2 linked regions of the Anolis sagrei genome follow. The protein of the gene in region 1 purifies or fractionates together with the protein of each later gene. This does not show direct contact. Links are inferred from orthologs where the notes say so. Each region holds a gene or a part of one and is shown in the gene's direction. Other genes may lie near its edges.

Region 1 (7,117 bases):
AAACTCGGGCTGAGAGCCCCTCCACACAGCCATATAACCCAGAATATTAAGGCAGAAAATCCCACAGTACTGTCATAGATCCCAGTTTAAAAGAGATCATGTGAGATTTTATGCAGCTGTGTGGAAGGGGCCTGGGTGAACTAAAATACAAATAAAACCCAGTTTGGGGTTTTATTTGTATTTTATTTGTATTTTTAGAGAAGAGGAATTAAATGAGAAGAATGTAAGCACGGTCAGATGTTGAACACTCAGGGCCCTTCCACGCTATCCTCTATCCCAGAATATCAGGGCAGAAAATCCCACATTATCTGAGTGTGGACTCAGATATCCAAGTTCAAAGCAGATATTGTGGGATTTTCTGCCTTGATATTCTGGGATATAGGACTGTATGGAAGGGCCCTCAGATATATGCCTACTTAAAATGAAACAGACATGGTTTTGCAGTGGTTTTGAATGTGAACTAAAATATAACTAAACCCCAGTTTTAGGATCTAAGTGGGAGGGTACTAAACTAGAGGAGTTTGGACATTGGGTGCGTGAATCTGGGCCCTTCCATATAACCACATAACTCAGAATATCAGAGAAGAAAATCCCACAATATCTGCTTTGCACTGAGGTCTCTGAGTCCACACTGCCATATATTTCAGTTCCAAGCAGGTAATGTGGGATTTTATTCAGCTGTGTTGAAGGAGCCTGAGATATAATGTACATATATCGGTTTGATAGTTATTTTTGAAACTGGTCCCTTCGCAGCTATTCCTGAAATAAGTCTACTAAGACTTTTTTAATGTGCGAAGGAAACCTTTCTTGGGATCCCAAGGGGCCCTTCCACACAGCCCTATATCCCAGCATATCAAGGCAGAAAAACCCACATTACCTGAGTGTGGACTCAGATAACACAGTTCAAAGCAGCTATTGTGGACTTTTCTGCCTTGATATTCTGGGTGCCTTTCCACACAGCCTTCTATCTCAGAATATCAAGGCAGAAAAACCCACAATATCTGCTTTGAACTGGGTTTTCTGAGTCCACATTCAGAAAATGTGGTATTTTCTACCTTGATATTCTGGGATATAGGGCTATGTGGAAGGGCCCAAGAAAAAATGTCTAAAAATGTTGGCAATTCCTCCGTCTTTCTTTGTTTCCTTCTTTATCCCGCCTTCAATAGCAGAACAGGCGCAAGAAGCACAAAATGGAAAGGGCCCGAATTGTCAATTACAAATCAATTTCTAAACTAGGAAGGAAGGGGGGGGGGCTATTAAGCCGGTCACGTGGTGCAGAGGTTTTCCTCTCCCCCTCCTCTTCCTCTTCCACCAGGCAAACAGCTTCGGAGGGGCTTTCCTCTTCCACCCACGAGTGTTTATGGACCCCTGCAACCGGCGTGGAGGCCTTGGGAAAGGAGCCACTCAGGCTCATAAATCGCCACCCCGGCGCTTCGGCGAAGAGTGTGACGCCTGTGAAAACAGAAAGAAAGGAAAAACCACCCCATCCATCCTCGCAGAGAGTGGAGCATGTCTGCCATAAATGTGGACGAAACGTCAGAAGAGAATGCTTCTGGAACATGGCCGTACAGTCTGGAAAACTCACAAGCAACCCAGTTGCGATCTTCCTGAACGGTGTGATGTTCGCCGTGGCCTTTGCAAACAGTGCACGGTGAGCCTTTCAAAAAGGAAGAATATCCTCCAGGTTCCAAGAAATAGCCTCTTTGGAACATAAACAGAAGGGGAAAAAGAAAGACAAAATACCCGTCTTGGAGGCGATCCGTACAAAAAAAAGAGTATTTTTTGCAGAAGGAACCGTTTCCGCCGCCTTGGAAGACAAAAAAGAAGAGGGAAAAGAGAGAAGAAGAGCGGTACCAGCCTTCAAGGTGAATGCCTTGTTGCAGAACTCTGCGCCGCCAAGAAACAACAGCAGATCTAGCTTGTTTTAGAATCTGAATAAACTCACTCTAGGATGGTCCGGATTGGTGTGATTATTAGTTTTGATTCTGGGTTTGCGGGGTTTTGGAGGGCGAGAGGTTTGGGTGCTAGTCGCTCAGCGTCGCCTAAAGTCCTCAGTTCATCCTCGTTGGGTTTGGTGACCGAGGTTTGGGGGAGAATGTTATTAAATAGGTCCTTCCCCTGCAAAGGATTCGCGGGCTCCTTCCAAGCTCACCTGTTCAGGTATTAAATCGAATGGAAGAGAAGGGCTGCCGCTCTTGGAAAGAGCCGAGGCTTGGTATTCACCCCAGGCGTTGCAGAGGGAGCACGACAAAACGAAACGGGCTCCATGCCGATTGTTTTCAATGGCAGGCAAGGAAACGACAAGAACCTTTCACACTAGAGAATGAATCCACTTTAAATCTGGTTTCTGCTTCCTGCAGAATTCTGAGGTTTGTAGTTCAGGGAAGTAGATTTTAACAGCCTCACTAAGCTACAAACCCCAGAATTCTGCAGGAAGCAGAAACCGGGTTTTGAGTGGATTCATTCTCTAGTGTGCTGAGCGAAGAACCCAGTGAACGACTCAGTGGTCAAGGCTGTGTTGGCGAACTGTCAGCTCAGAGGAACCCAGGCAATTCTTGCGATGTGCCCTGAAGTCCGTTCTAACTTATGGCGGTCCTCTCGTAGGTTTTGCTCTGGCGAGATGTGTTCAGGCCTTCCTCTGAGGCCGAGAGAGTGTGACTTGCCCAGTGGGTTTCCATAGTCGAGGGGGATTCAAACCTTGGCCGCCAGAGCTGCAATGTAAAGCTCAAAACACTGCCCAATGCTCTCGGATACATTTCCTCGTTTGAAAACCAGTCGAACTGGGAAATTCGGGCTTTTAGTGAGTGCATAGACTTGTCACAAGCCAGCTTGAGATCTCTTTTTGCCCATACTCCTCCATACCTTTCTTCCTCTGGTTTCAAAGGGGCTTCCTCTAAGGTCCACATATGCCTAGGTATATAATGTAGTCTTTGGGCTTTGAGCAACCATTAAACTCACAAAGGAATGTCACGCATTGGGTCTAGAAAGAGCTCACCGCTGGTTTAACAACAACAACAACAACAACAACAACAACAACAACTTTATTTACAACCGGCCCTATCTCCCCAAAGATATATCTTTCTTCAAATATAGACACTTTAGAATAATAATAATAATAATAATAATAATAATAATTTATAACCCTCCCTATCTCCCCAAGGATATATTTTTCTTCAAATATGGAAACTTAACAACAACAACAATACTTTATTTATAATTCTCCCAATCTCCCCAAGGATATGTTTTGCTTCATATATAGAAACTTAATAATAATAATAATAATAATAATAATAATAATAATTTATTTATAACTCTCCCTACCTCCCCAAGGATAGATTTTTCTTCAAATATGGAAACTTAATGATAATAGTACTTTATTTATAACCCTCCCTATCTCCCCAATAATATGTTTTGCTTCACATAAAGACACTTAATAATAATAATAATAATAATAGAAGAAATAATAATATTTTATTTATAACCCTCCCTGTCTCCCCAAGAATATGTTTTGCTTCACATAAAGGCACATAATAATAATAATAATAATAATAATAATAATTTATTTATAAACCGCCCTATATCCCCAAGGATATATTTTTCCTTAAGTATAAAAACTTTAGTTGTAGCATTTTGCAATGAATGAGGAGGAGGAGGAGGGGAAAGAGGAAGGCTTCTATTAGATGTGATTATTATTATTATTATTATTATTATGCACAGAAGTCACACAAGCATACATACAAGTTCTCTCTCGGAGTTTGGAAAAGTTCTTTATGGCGTTGATTGGACATATTTTTATTTTCCTTGATTGGGGAAGAAGAGCTTCAAATGCAAAGATCTTCCCTCGGCAAGAAGGCAAAGGCGAGAGAGAGAGAGAGAGAGAGTGTGTGTTGAGCAAAGGATGCGCCAAAGGGAGAGTATTAGAAACCTCTCCTTCTCTTTCTCTCGGAATTAGCCAAACCCCTCGGCTAATCTATCTGCAAAGTTCCGAGGCAGCTTATTGGCTGACGTCAGGGGCGTCACAGAATTCCCCTGCTCCTGATTGGCCCTTTCCACGTGCGGGCCATCCTCACGTGCTTCCGGTTGGAAAGGAAAAAAAGTGTGGCTGAGCGATTTTTTTAGGGAGAGTTTGTGGCAAGATCGGAGCTGTCAGAGATTTTTTTTTTGGCGCGCGGGGGGGGTTTGCCTTTATTTATATATATAATATAAATATATATTAAGGCGAAGCGCAGAAGGAAGGAAAGATTGAAGGCGGGGTGTAGATTCAGGGGCTGAGGAAGGAGAGAAGGTAGAAGAGGAAGGGAGGAGGAAAAACAAGAAGGATTAAAAATACGGAATGCACGTGCGATCCGGCGATTAAATCCTCCTCCTCCTCCTCCGCGGGCAAAGCCGAGCCTGACACTTGGGGGAAAGCCCCGCCAGAGGATGGGTCGATGGTGAGGAAGACTTTGGGGGAGGGGGCGGGGTTTTGAGGGGTGCTGGTGGTCTTTGCTTCCCCTCTTTTAGCCCCCCTCCCTTTTTTGGGGAGAAAGGGGGAGCCCAGAGAGAGAGAGCGAGAGAGAGAGAGAAATATAACTGCAAAAAAAGGGGGCGAATCGCTCCAAATGGATCTCTCTCTCTAGACCCCCTGCTCCGAGCCAACAAGTGGATTTGGTTTTGCCTTGGACACTCGGGCGGTGCTTTTGTTTTTGTTTTCCCTGAAGAAGAAGCTTACAATTGAATTGGAAGCAAGGGGAAGAAGAAATCAGCACCACTGCCGTCCGGAGAAGGAGGGAAGAAAACAGAAACACAGAGAGAGAGAGAAAGAGAGAGAGAGACAGAGCCAAGCCTGGCGCTTTCCGGCGGAGGTGGCGGCTGACTATGGAAGAGCAGGCGGACCCTAAAAGCCAGCGAGAGCCTGCTCCCACCACCACCACTACCACCAGCAGCGCCACCAGCAACACCAGTACCGCCGGCAGCACCAGCAGCAGCGATGGGGAAAGCCTCCCGGTCTCTCCCAGCAGCACGGGAAGCGGCCACCCGCCCTTGTCTCCCGCCGCCGCGCCCTGCCTCGTCTCGGTGGCCCATCATCATCCCCACCACCATCACCACCACCACCAGCACCACCAGCATGCCCTCCAAGCGCAACAACGTCCGCCGCCGCCGCCTCCTCCTCCTCCGCCACAACGCACCACCAACTTCTTCATCGACAACATCCTGAGGCCGGACTTTGGCTGCAAGAAGGAGCAGCAGCAGCAGCTCTTGATCCTCTCTGGAGGAGGAGGAGGAGGAGGAAGTGGAGGAGGAGGAGGAGGAGGCCGGGAGAGAGACCTAGACCGCGCGGGCAGCTCAGGTAGAGAAAACGTCAACCCACTGCTGGGGGGCAGGACCCCCAACCCGGCCTCCTCCTCTTCCTCCTCCTCCTCCTCCTCGGTGCTCCTTAGCACGGAGTCAGAGACGGGCCCCTCAGCCATCGGCTCCACCGCCGCCTCCAAAGCCAGCCCCACCGCCAAGCCCCCTTCCTCCTCCTCCTCCTCTTCCTCCTCCTCTTCCTCCTCCTCCTCCTCTTCCTCCTCCTCCTCCTGCTGCTCGGAAGGCAGCGGACCTCACCCGGCGAACTATGGGGAGCACGCCAACCCGGCCATCCTGCTCATGGGCTCCAGTAATGGAGGGTCCGCCGTGGGGGCCAAGGGCGACGGGAAGCAGCCGCTGGTTTGGCCGGCCTGGGTTTACTGCACGAGGTATTCAGACCGACCGTCCTCCGGTAAGAATCCCTCCTCGGAGAAAACCCGCCTCGCCCCTCGCCTCCCCCTTCCCTTCCTTGCCCTGCTCGCTTCGCCCCTTCGCCTCCAGCCCCCATGGAGAAACCGAGCCAGGCCTCCCCCTTCCCGGCGCCCTGCTTGCTTGGCCCTTCCCGCTCCCTCCCTGTCTTTGAGTCCTGTCCTTGTCACCGGTGGGGGGCGGGGGTACAAGTTCCTTTTGCCCCCGAGGAGACCTGTGGGGTGTTGATTTGAAAAGGGGGAGCCCCAAAGAAGAAACAACAAGGCCACTCCGCCATCTGCCCATCCTGCTTCTTCCCTGGATTAGAGAGTGTCCAAGGGCACTTCCACGCAGCCCTATCTCCCAGAATATCGAGGCAGAAAAATCCCACAATATCTGCTTTGAACTGGGTTATCTGATGGGAATTCCTGCCTTGTTATTCTGGGATATAGGGCTGTGTGGAAGGCCCCAAAGTCCAAACTCAGATAATGTGGGATTTTCTGCCTTGTTATTCTAGGATATAGGATCAGTTTTGCCCTTTTCAACCTGTTTTATTTCCTCCCAAGTTTATCACGATGGCCCGGGTCTCAGGGCTCGGTTGAGAGGTAGCGTCCACACGCCCTTGTTATGCATTTATTCTTCTTTTAAGAAGGATCTGTATCATAGAAGAGACCCATGGGATGCAAAAAGGATGCAAAAGGGATGCAAAAGGGAAGACCGTCTTCTAGACAAAGCTGTGCTTACTAGGGCCCCGTTTAGACTAACCATTGAGTGCCATTCGTAGCTATTTTCAAACTCCCACCAAAAAGAGGAATGAACACAAGAAAGCCCATACGCATCACTGCTTTGCAGTTTGTGCCGTCACTTTCGGGGCCTCACACTCGATCCAGGATTTCCTAAGCATTTTCCAGAATACTGGTTGGAAAAAAAGCATCAAATGACTTTAGAGGCCAATGCTTTCCCCGCCATTGTAGAATTTTTTTTAAAGGCTTTAAATTGAAATTTTAAAATAGATGTGTTGTCGAACGCTTTCATGGCAAGAGTCCCTAGGTTGCTGTGAGTTTTCCGAGCTGTATGGCCATGTTCCAGAAGCATTCTCTTCTGACGTTTCGCCCACATCTATGGCAGGCATCCTCAGAGGTTGTGAGGTCTTTTGGAAACTCGACAACAAACTCTAACCACAACAAAGACGACAATGTAGTGGGTGCATAGAGACCTCACAACCTCTGAGGATGCCTGCTATAGATGTAGGCGAAACGTCAGGAGAGAATGCCATTACAACCCGGAAAACTCACAGCAACCCAGTTAAAATAGATGGCTTGAGAAGGCCCAACGGGGAAACGCTCCATGCAAAGATCTGCTCGGGAGACGGAGACCAAAT
Region 2 (7,684 bases), on another chromosome or scaffold:
AGGGAGATGAGCACCACCCCCCAGAGTCTGACAGGACTAGACTTAATGTCAAGGAGAAACCTTTATTTTTACCCATGGTGCCCTTTTACTATGAAATGATTCTTCTGGATGTCTCCTCAGGTTGTTTTCTACACTGTTTTTACAATCTCTTCTGAAGCCCTAATGAAGTGCAGGGACAGGAATGTGGTGGCTTGATGGCACCATAGCAAATCTTCTCTGAAAGGGGAGGACAGGATTCCAATAATGATTGGAGTGCAAGTCCCAGCATTCCCATTGCAGGCAAAGGACAATGGGAGCTCTGGAGTCATTCCTGCCCTGGCCTATCTACACTGTATAATTAGTGCAGTTTAACAGCCATGGCTTTGTATTATGGAATCTTGGGATATGTAGTTTGGTGAGGTACCAGCACTTGTTGGCAGAGAAGGCTAAATGCCTGTAAAACTACAGCTCTCATGATTTCACAGCACCGAGCCATGGCAGTTAACATGGTGTTAAACTGCATTCATTCTATCTCAAAATGCATTCATTCTACAGTATAGACGCACCCTAAGACTTTGTTTACCTTTGCAAGTTCTTCAAGGGGTGGGAGGATCAACACAGCGCCTGGACAGGGAAGCTTACAAAGGATGAGTCAGTCTGCACTGAGATTTAATTTTAATCCCTTAAAAGATAGTCCTTTAAAAGATAATCCCTTTTAAAGAAAACAAGGCCATGGACTAGTTAAGAATCTCTGACGAGGTCGTCTGCCTGAATATTCGAGAAATGTAGTTTCTTGTTTCTTCAGAGTTAATAATAATAATAATAATAATTATTTATTTATTCCCTGCCACCATCTCCCAAAAAGGGACTCACGATGGGTTACAAGCACACAATGGTGCCATACAACATATAAAATACAATATAGCAAAATTAAAACCAGCAACACATTTAAAACGAAACATATAAAAATAACAAGATCAATAGAATCAATAAAATATAGCAATGGTCATTAATTAAAAGATCCATACAGCCAATTTAGCCTTCCCTGGTAAAAGATCGTGGTCTGGCTGCAATCTTAAAAATAGGCCTAATACTATACAACTGCTGAAAACTCTATGTTGACGATATTAATATTGAAATATAGCAAAGAAAGAAAGAAAGACAAATACAGTACAGACAAACTGAATGTTAGCACACTTTTACAGTAACATACATACATACATGCATTTTAATGTTTATTTAAAGTGTGATTTCTTCTATTTTTTGTCACTTGCTTAAAAGTTCAGATTGAGAGTACTGGTTAGCTGAGAGTATGCGAGCATTTGTATTATAAATACGAGTGTGTGTGTTTATGTGTACATGTATATATGTGTGTATGGACCCCCTGGTGCCGCAGTGGGTTAAACCACTGAGCTGCTGAACTTGCTGACCAGAAGGTTGGCTGTTTGAATTTGGGGAGCAGGGTGAGCTCTCGCTGTTAGGCCCGGCTTCTGCCAACCTGATTTCTTCTCTTTCCCTTAGATCCATACGAACTCTTAAAAGACTCCAGCAGCTGCAGTGATCCTTAGATCTGTGAACACTTTCAATCAGTCCTTTGTTTAATAGCAAACAATTGCTCATGTAGCTATTTAAAAGTTATTATTATGCAGAATATTTAGCTATTACTGAAATAAGCATGATCTCTGAATTATGACCTTCTATTCTGTATGAAGGGGCTATGGTGGTGCAGCAGGTTAAACTGCTAAGCTGCAGAACTTGCTGACCAAAAAGTCAGTGGTTCAAATTCAGGACGGGATGAGCTCCCGCTATTAGGCCCAGCTTCTGCCAACCTAGCAGTTCTAAAACATCCAAATGTGAGTAGATCAATAGGTACCACTTCAGCAGGAAGGTAATGGTGCTCCATGCAGTCATGCTAGCCACATGACCTTGGAGGTGTCTACAGACAACTCTGGCTCTCCGGATTAGAAATGGAGATGCGCACCACTCCAAAGGGTAAAGGGGAAACCTTTACTCTCTCTCTCTCTCTACACACACACACACACACACACACATATACACATATACACATACACACTCCTACCTGGATAGTTTGAATCATGTGTTGTGTTCATTGTATTTTAATCTCTGCTCTGTGTATTTTTAATATTGGCATTTTGCAGAAATACATTTTAATATGTGTATTTTATATAATGTTTGTGATGATTATGTGTTTTTAGCTATGTTGTAGCCCACCTTGAGCCACGAGGAGAGGTGGATAAGTAATAAAATGGTGATGATAATGATTATTATAATTATATGGGATGTTAGGTTAGATCAGACATAGGCAAACTTCAACCCTCCACATGTTTTGGACCTGCTGTTAGGAATTGTGGGAGTCAAAGTCCAAAACACCTGGAGGGCTGAAGTTTGCCCATGCCTGGTGTATATGTATGTACAGTAGAGTACATTATTATAGTATCATTATTACAAGATTAAAGTGGTGGTCAGTAGCCAGTCCTAGTTCACAACACATTGGTTGCCAGTCTGTGGCAAAGGACTAGAGAAAAAGAAACCCAAAATGCAACAACAATAATACAGTAGCAACCTGTACTACCTTTTCATGAAGGATTAGTTGAATCAGCCCTGGAAGACCCAAAAGAATATATTTCCAACAAGATACCCTCAAGCAAAGCAGCACATACAGTAGAGTCTTGCTTATCCCACGTAAATGGACCAGCTGAACGCTGGATAAGCGAAAACGTTGGATAATAAGGAGGGATTAAGGAAATGCCTATTAAACATCAAATTACATCAAGATTTTACAATTTAAGCACCAAAACATCATGTTTTGCAACAAATGGACAGAAAAGGCAGTTCAATATATGGTAATATTATGGAGTAATGGCTGTATTTATAAATTTAGCACCAAAACATTGCAATGTTTTGAAACAGCGGTGGATCCGGGTGGGAGGCAGACTGCGTTTTATTTATTTATTTCCTATATTTATACCCCACCCTATATTTATATCCCCCCGAAGGGATAATACAGAACGTTGGATGAGCGAAGGTTGGATAAGCGAGACTCTACTGCAACTGTTCTCAAATGAGCTTGTTCAATTATCAGGAATTCTGGGAGTTGAAGGCTCAAACAGTTGGAGGGCCGCAGTTTTTAGGAGGAGCCTCCCCAGAATAATGATCCCATTGCACTTTGTCCGCCAAAGCACTTAATATTTTTTAGGTCTGCTTGTATGTTTTCCACAAACGCCCCATCACTTTTTGCGCCCATATTCCAGCATTATTTTCAATTTTAATTTTACATTTGGCCTTCCCATCGTTTTTAATCGTGTGGTCTTATTGTTAATGTTGCATTATTGTATTGTCCATGTTTTTTATTTTAATTGCTTGTATTGTTGTTATTATTGCTTGTATTGTTGTATTTGGGCTTGGCCTCATGTAAGCCGCACCGAGTCCCTTGGGGAGATGGTAGTGGGGTACAAATAAAGTGTTATTATTATTATTAGTTTGAGGATGCCTGCTCCCAGGCATGTGGGGGGGGGGGGGGGGGCCTCAGGGGGCTTCAGCCCCCCCCCCCCCCCGGAAATTCTCATGGTGGTTCGCAAAAAGGCCTTACTGGTGCATTATTTAAACTGTTATGTTTATTGATATCATGATCTGATCACCATACTCAATATATCCCATATGCATGGGGGTACTGAAGTAACGATACAAAAGGTTTGCTAGGGTAGACCCTCTTTCACTCAGACTCAGCCTGAAAAAAATTCAGCCCCCCCCCCCCCCCCACGAAATCCTGGCTACGGGCCTGCCTGCTCCACTATATATATATATATATATATATATATATATATATATATATAATGAAAGTATATATAAATGTATAGGTAAAGGTATTCCCCTGACATTAAGTCCAGTCATGTCCGACTCTGGGATGCGCTGCTCATCTCCATTTCTAAGCCGAAGAGCCTGCGTTGTCCATAGACACCTCCAAGGACATGTGGCCAGCATGACTGCTTGGACCGCCGTTATAAATATAAATGTGTTCACAGAGAGAGATATATATGTAAACGGGGCCTCATTCCTCTTGGTGGCCCTCTGGTTCCTTCTGACAAACGGAAGGGGAATCTCTTCTGCCTCCTTTCGTCCTTCCATCCGCTTAAACAGGGCAGCCTCCACCTGGCTCCTCCAGCCCTTGCCTGTCCTGGACCAGGGATGCATTATTTATCTCCCTGTGTTATTTCCACAGATTTCGAGAGAGAGAGAGAGAGAGGGAGCCGGGCAAGGTAAAGGAATAATAATAATAAAAGAGAAAGCGGGGCGGAGGTGGAGGGGAGGAGGAGGAGAGCCCCATATAGTCATCTCTTTCTCTCTCCTTCTCCTTCTTTCTCTCTCACTGCCCCACGTTACTTTGATTGACACCTCCGCCTCGCCACTCTCCTTCTCCCCGACCTTCCCCTGTCTGAGCGTTCCACCGCCTCCCATTGGCTCGCTCGGAGGGGTCCTGCCGCTCAGCCTCGCTCAGCCTCGAAAGCCTTCCTCGGAAAAGGAGGAGGGGCGGGGACAGAGTCGGGGCGAAGGGGGCGGCGTTGAGTTGCCAAAGCGGCCCTCTCATTGGTGTCCCGTCACAGCCCCACGTTGGTACCCGAGCACCCCATTGGCTGCGATCCGCTTTCGGGGCGGGGCCGAGGAGCCTGGTTAGCTCGAGGAGTGTGAAACCGCGTGTTAATGTAACCAGCGCGGGCGGAGGAGACGTTGGGTGCCGTTTATTGAGTTGCGTTGTCCCGCGGAGTTCTTGCTCTCCCTCCCTCCCTCCCCTCCCCCCTTTTGTCCTTTTCTATTATTTCGGATCTATTTCGTATCTGATTCCCTTGCTTTGGATGTGTGTTTCCGAGGGAACGAACTTGAGGGAAAGAAGAAGAAGGAGACGAGAGAGAGGAGCGGCCCGACGGGGATGAGGCGGCTTCTGCTCCTGCTGCTGCTGCGGCGCCTTTCTCTCCTCGCTTTGGGATAATAACCCCAGTGTGGCCTCGGCCTTGCCTTGGACGGCGCGGGGCTTTTGTTTGGTGGTTTGGAGCCGTGTTGGGAGATCCTCCATATTTGATTCCTTCGGGGAAAGAAAGAAAACAAAACAGCCTCGCTTTTCGTCCCGTTTCCTGGCTTGTTAAGTTGGAGCCGAAGGCAAGGCAAGAGAGAAGGAAAGAAGGAAGGAAGGCCGCGTCTCGCTCTCTCCGGGTTCGAAGCCCGCTCTGGGCCTCTTTTCCCCTCTTGAAGGAAGGAAGGAAGGAACAAAGGCGCCGGGAGGATGCGGAGCCGCAGAGGCTGAGCGCCAGGGCTTCGCTTCGGGCCTGAAAACTTCGGAAGGAGGAGGAGGACTTGGGGAGCTGCCTTTCCCCCACAGCCATGTTCCCCCAAAGCCGGCACCCCGTAAGTGGCCCCCGCTCTCCCCACCAACACGCGTGTCTTCTCTATAATGTAACGTATATCCTAACTACCCTTTACCTCTGGGATGGTGATGGTGGTGACTGATCATAATATTATTGTGCGGGCAATGCTTCCCGTAGAAATGGATAAGCGCGCATGAACCTTGGAAACTTCAATCCCTTTGAAACATTATGGGTCCTCCCTCCAGGGAGTTTTGGACTCGGCCGAGGGGGAAAAGGAAGGGGCCTGAGGCTGTTAGGAATGGTGGGAGTTGGAGTCAAAAACTCCTGGAGGGAGGGCCCAAGTTGGACCATGCCTGGTGTAGATGTGCCCCGAGAAAACTACAACTCCCGGGATCCCAAGCTGCATTCACAGTGTAGAATGATTCACCCATTGGGATACTAAAATATCCCTCAACTAGTGTGTGTGTGTGTGTATCACCCATTGGGATACTAAAATACCCCCAAACTAGTGTGAGATATATATATATATATATATATATATATATATATATATATATATTATATGTATATATATGTATGTATGTGTATATGTATATATGTATAGTATGTGTGTGTATCACCCATTGGGATACTAAAATACCCCCCAAAGTAGTGTGCATATATATATTACCCAAACTAGTGTGTGTGATATATATATAGTATAAATATCAGGCATGGACAGCATTCATAGAATCATAGAGTTGGAAGAGACCTCATGGGCCATCCAGTCCAACCCCGTGCCTAGAAGCAGGAATATTGCATTCAAAGCACCCCTGACAGATGGCCATACAGCCTCTACAGTGTGGAATGATTCACCCATTGGGTTACTAAAATGCCCCTCAACTAGTGTGTGTGTATAGTATATATATGGTGTGTGTGTGTATATATATATAAGGCATGGGCTTCATTCACTCTACAGTGTAGAATCAGTCACCCATTGTGATACTAAAATACCCCCAAACTAGTTTGTGTGTGTGCGCGCGTGTGTGTATAGAGAGAGACAGAGAGGGAGTGTACATACATTATCAGTCATGGGCTACATTCACTCTATAGTATAATGACTCACCCATTGGGATACATACTAAAATATCCCCCAAACTAGTGTGTCTCTGCATGTGTACAGATAGAATACACACATAGTATATATATCAGGCATGGGCCAGTTTGGGCCCTTGGTGTGTTTTGGACTTCAACTCCCACAATTCCTAACAGCCTCAGGCCCTTTCCTTTTCCCCCTCAGCCGCTTAAGCAAGTGGGGTTTATCATCTATCTATCTGTCTATTTGTGGAATAATGTCTAGGGTGCTTAAGCGGCTGAGGTGGAGATAAGAAATGGGCCTGAGACTGTTAGGAATGGTGGAAGTTTGAGTCCAAAACCCCTGGAGAGTCCAAGTTGCTCCAAGTTGGCATATGCTATGGCATTATATAGATGTGGTATTGGAGCAGGTCACTCGAATGCTTAATATTTGGTTGGGAATTGTTTGGTGGGGGGATTTTGAAACATTGGACTGCTGAGAGATCTTGGAGGTGGGACCCAAAGCCTGAACATGAAATTAATTGCTGTTCCATACATATGCACTTAGTCTGAAGTTACTTTTCTATGCAGTGTTTTGTATTTTAAAATGGAGGTAATTTTCTATACAATATTTTTTGTGCATGGAACAAAGTTTGGGTATGCCCGAGGCACCCAGAAGCAAAGGTGTCTGTCACTCAAGACACCCGTGGGATGTTTTTGGAGTTTGGAGCATTTCGGATTTTCTAACAAGGGATTCTCAATCTCTATAACATTTACTCTTCCAAATAACAACGACAACAACAAATCTTTATTTATATCCTGTTTTTCTCCCTCACGGGACCCAAAGTGGCTTACAACATATTACAACGTATAAATGCATTTACTTCGCCTTTAAACAAGCACTTTAGTTGCTGTGATGTCGAAGGCTTTCATGGCTGGGATCACTGGGTTGCTGTGGGTTTTCCAGGCTGTAGGTCCATGTTTCCGGAAGCATTCTTTCCTGACTATTCCAAGGCTATTCAGTGCTAATCAAGGTGGCCAATTGCAACATGCACACTTGCCTCCATAAGATGAGAGTTCTTTTCTCCCACCCTGGACATTACTCCACAGATATATAAACCCCACTTGCCTTGTTTCCAACAAAGCTCACAACAAGCTCACAACCTCTGAGGATGCCTGCCATAGATGCAGGCAAAACGTCAGGAGAGAATGCTTCTGGAACATGGCCATGCAGCCCGGAAAACTCACAGCAACCCACTGTAGCTGCTGTTCCA

What was found.
Region 2: the proteins of EN1 (region 1) and transducin-like enhancer protein 1 purify together in Homo sapiens (affinity purification with western blotting; 4 studies listed by BioGRID and IntAct, with this or other methods). This does not show direct contact. The link is inferred for Anolis sagrei from reciprocal best matches to the Homo sapiens genes EN1 and TLE1.

Annotation. Positions count from the first base shown.
Region 1 is NC_090021.1:218,099,199-218,106,315, reverse strand, and holds the start of EN1 (homeobox protein engrailed-1), read left to right. Parts: upstream 1-4,108; 5' UTR 4,109-4,857; coding exon 4,858-5,740; intron 5,741-7,117. UniProt on the Homo sapiens protein: Required for proper formation of the apical ectodermal ridge and correct dorsal-ventral patterning in the limb.
Region 2 is NC_090022.1:227,808,708-227,816,391, reverse strand, and holds the start of transducin-like enhancer protein 1, read left to right. Parts: upstream 1-4,673; 5' UTR 4,674-5,373; coding exon 5,374-5,445; intron 5,446-7,684. UniProt on the Homo sapiens protein: Transcriptional corepressor that binds to a number of transcription factors. Inhibits NF-kappa-B-regulated gene expression. Inhibits the transcriptional activation mediated by FOXA2, and by CTNNB1 and TCF family members in Wnt signaling.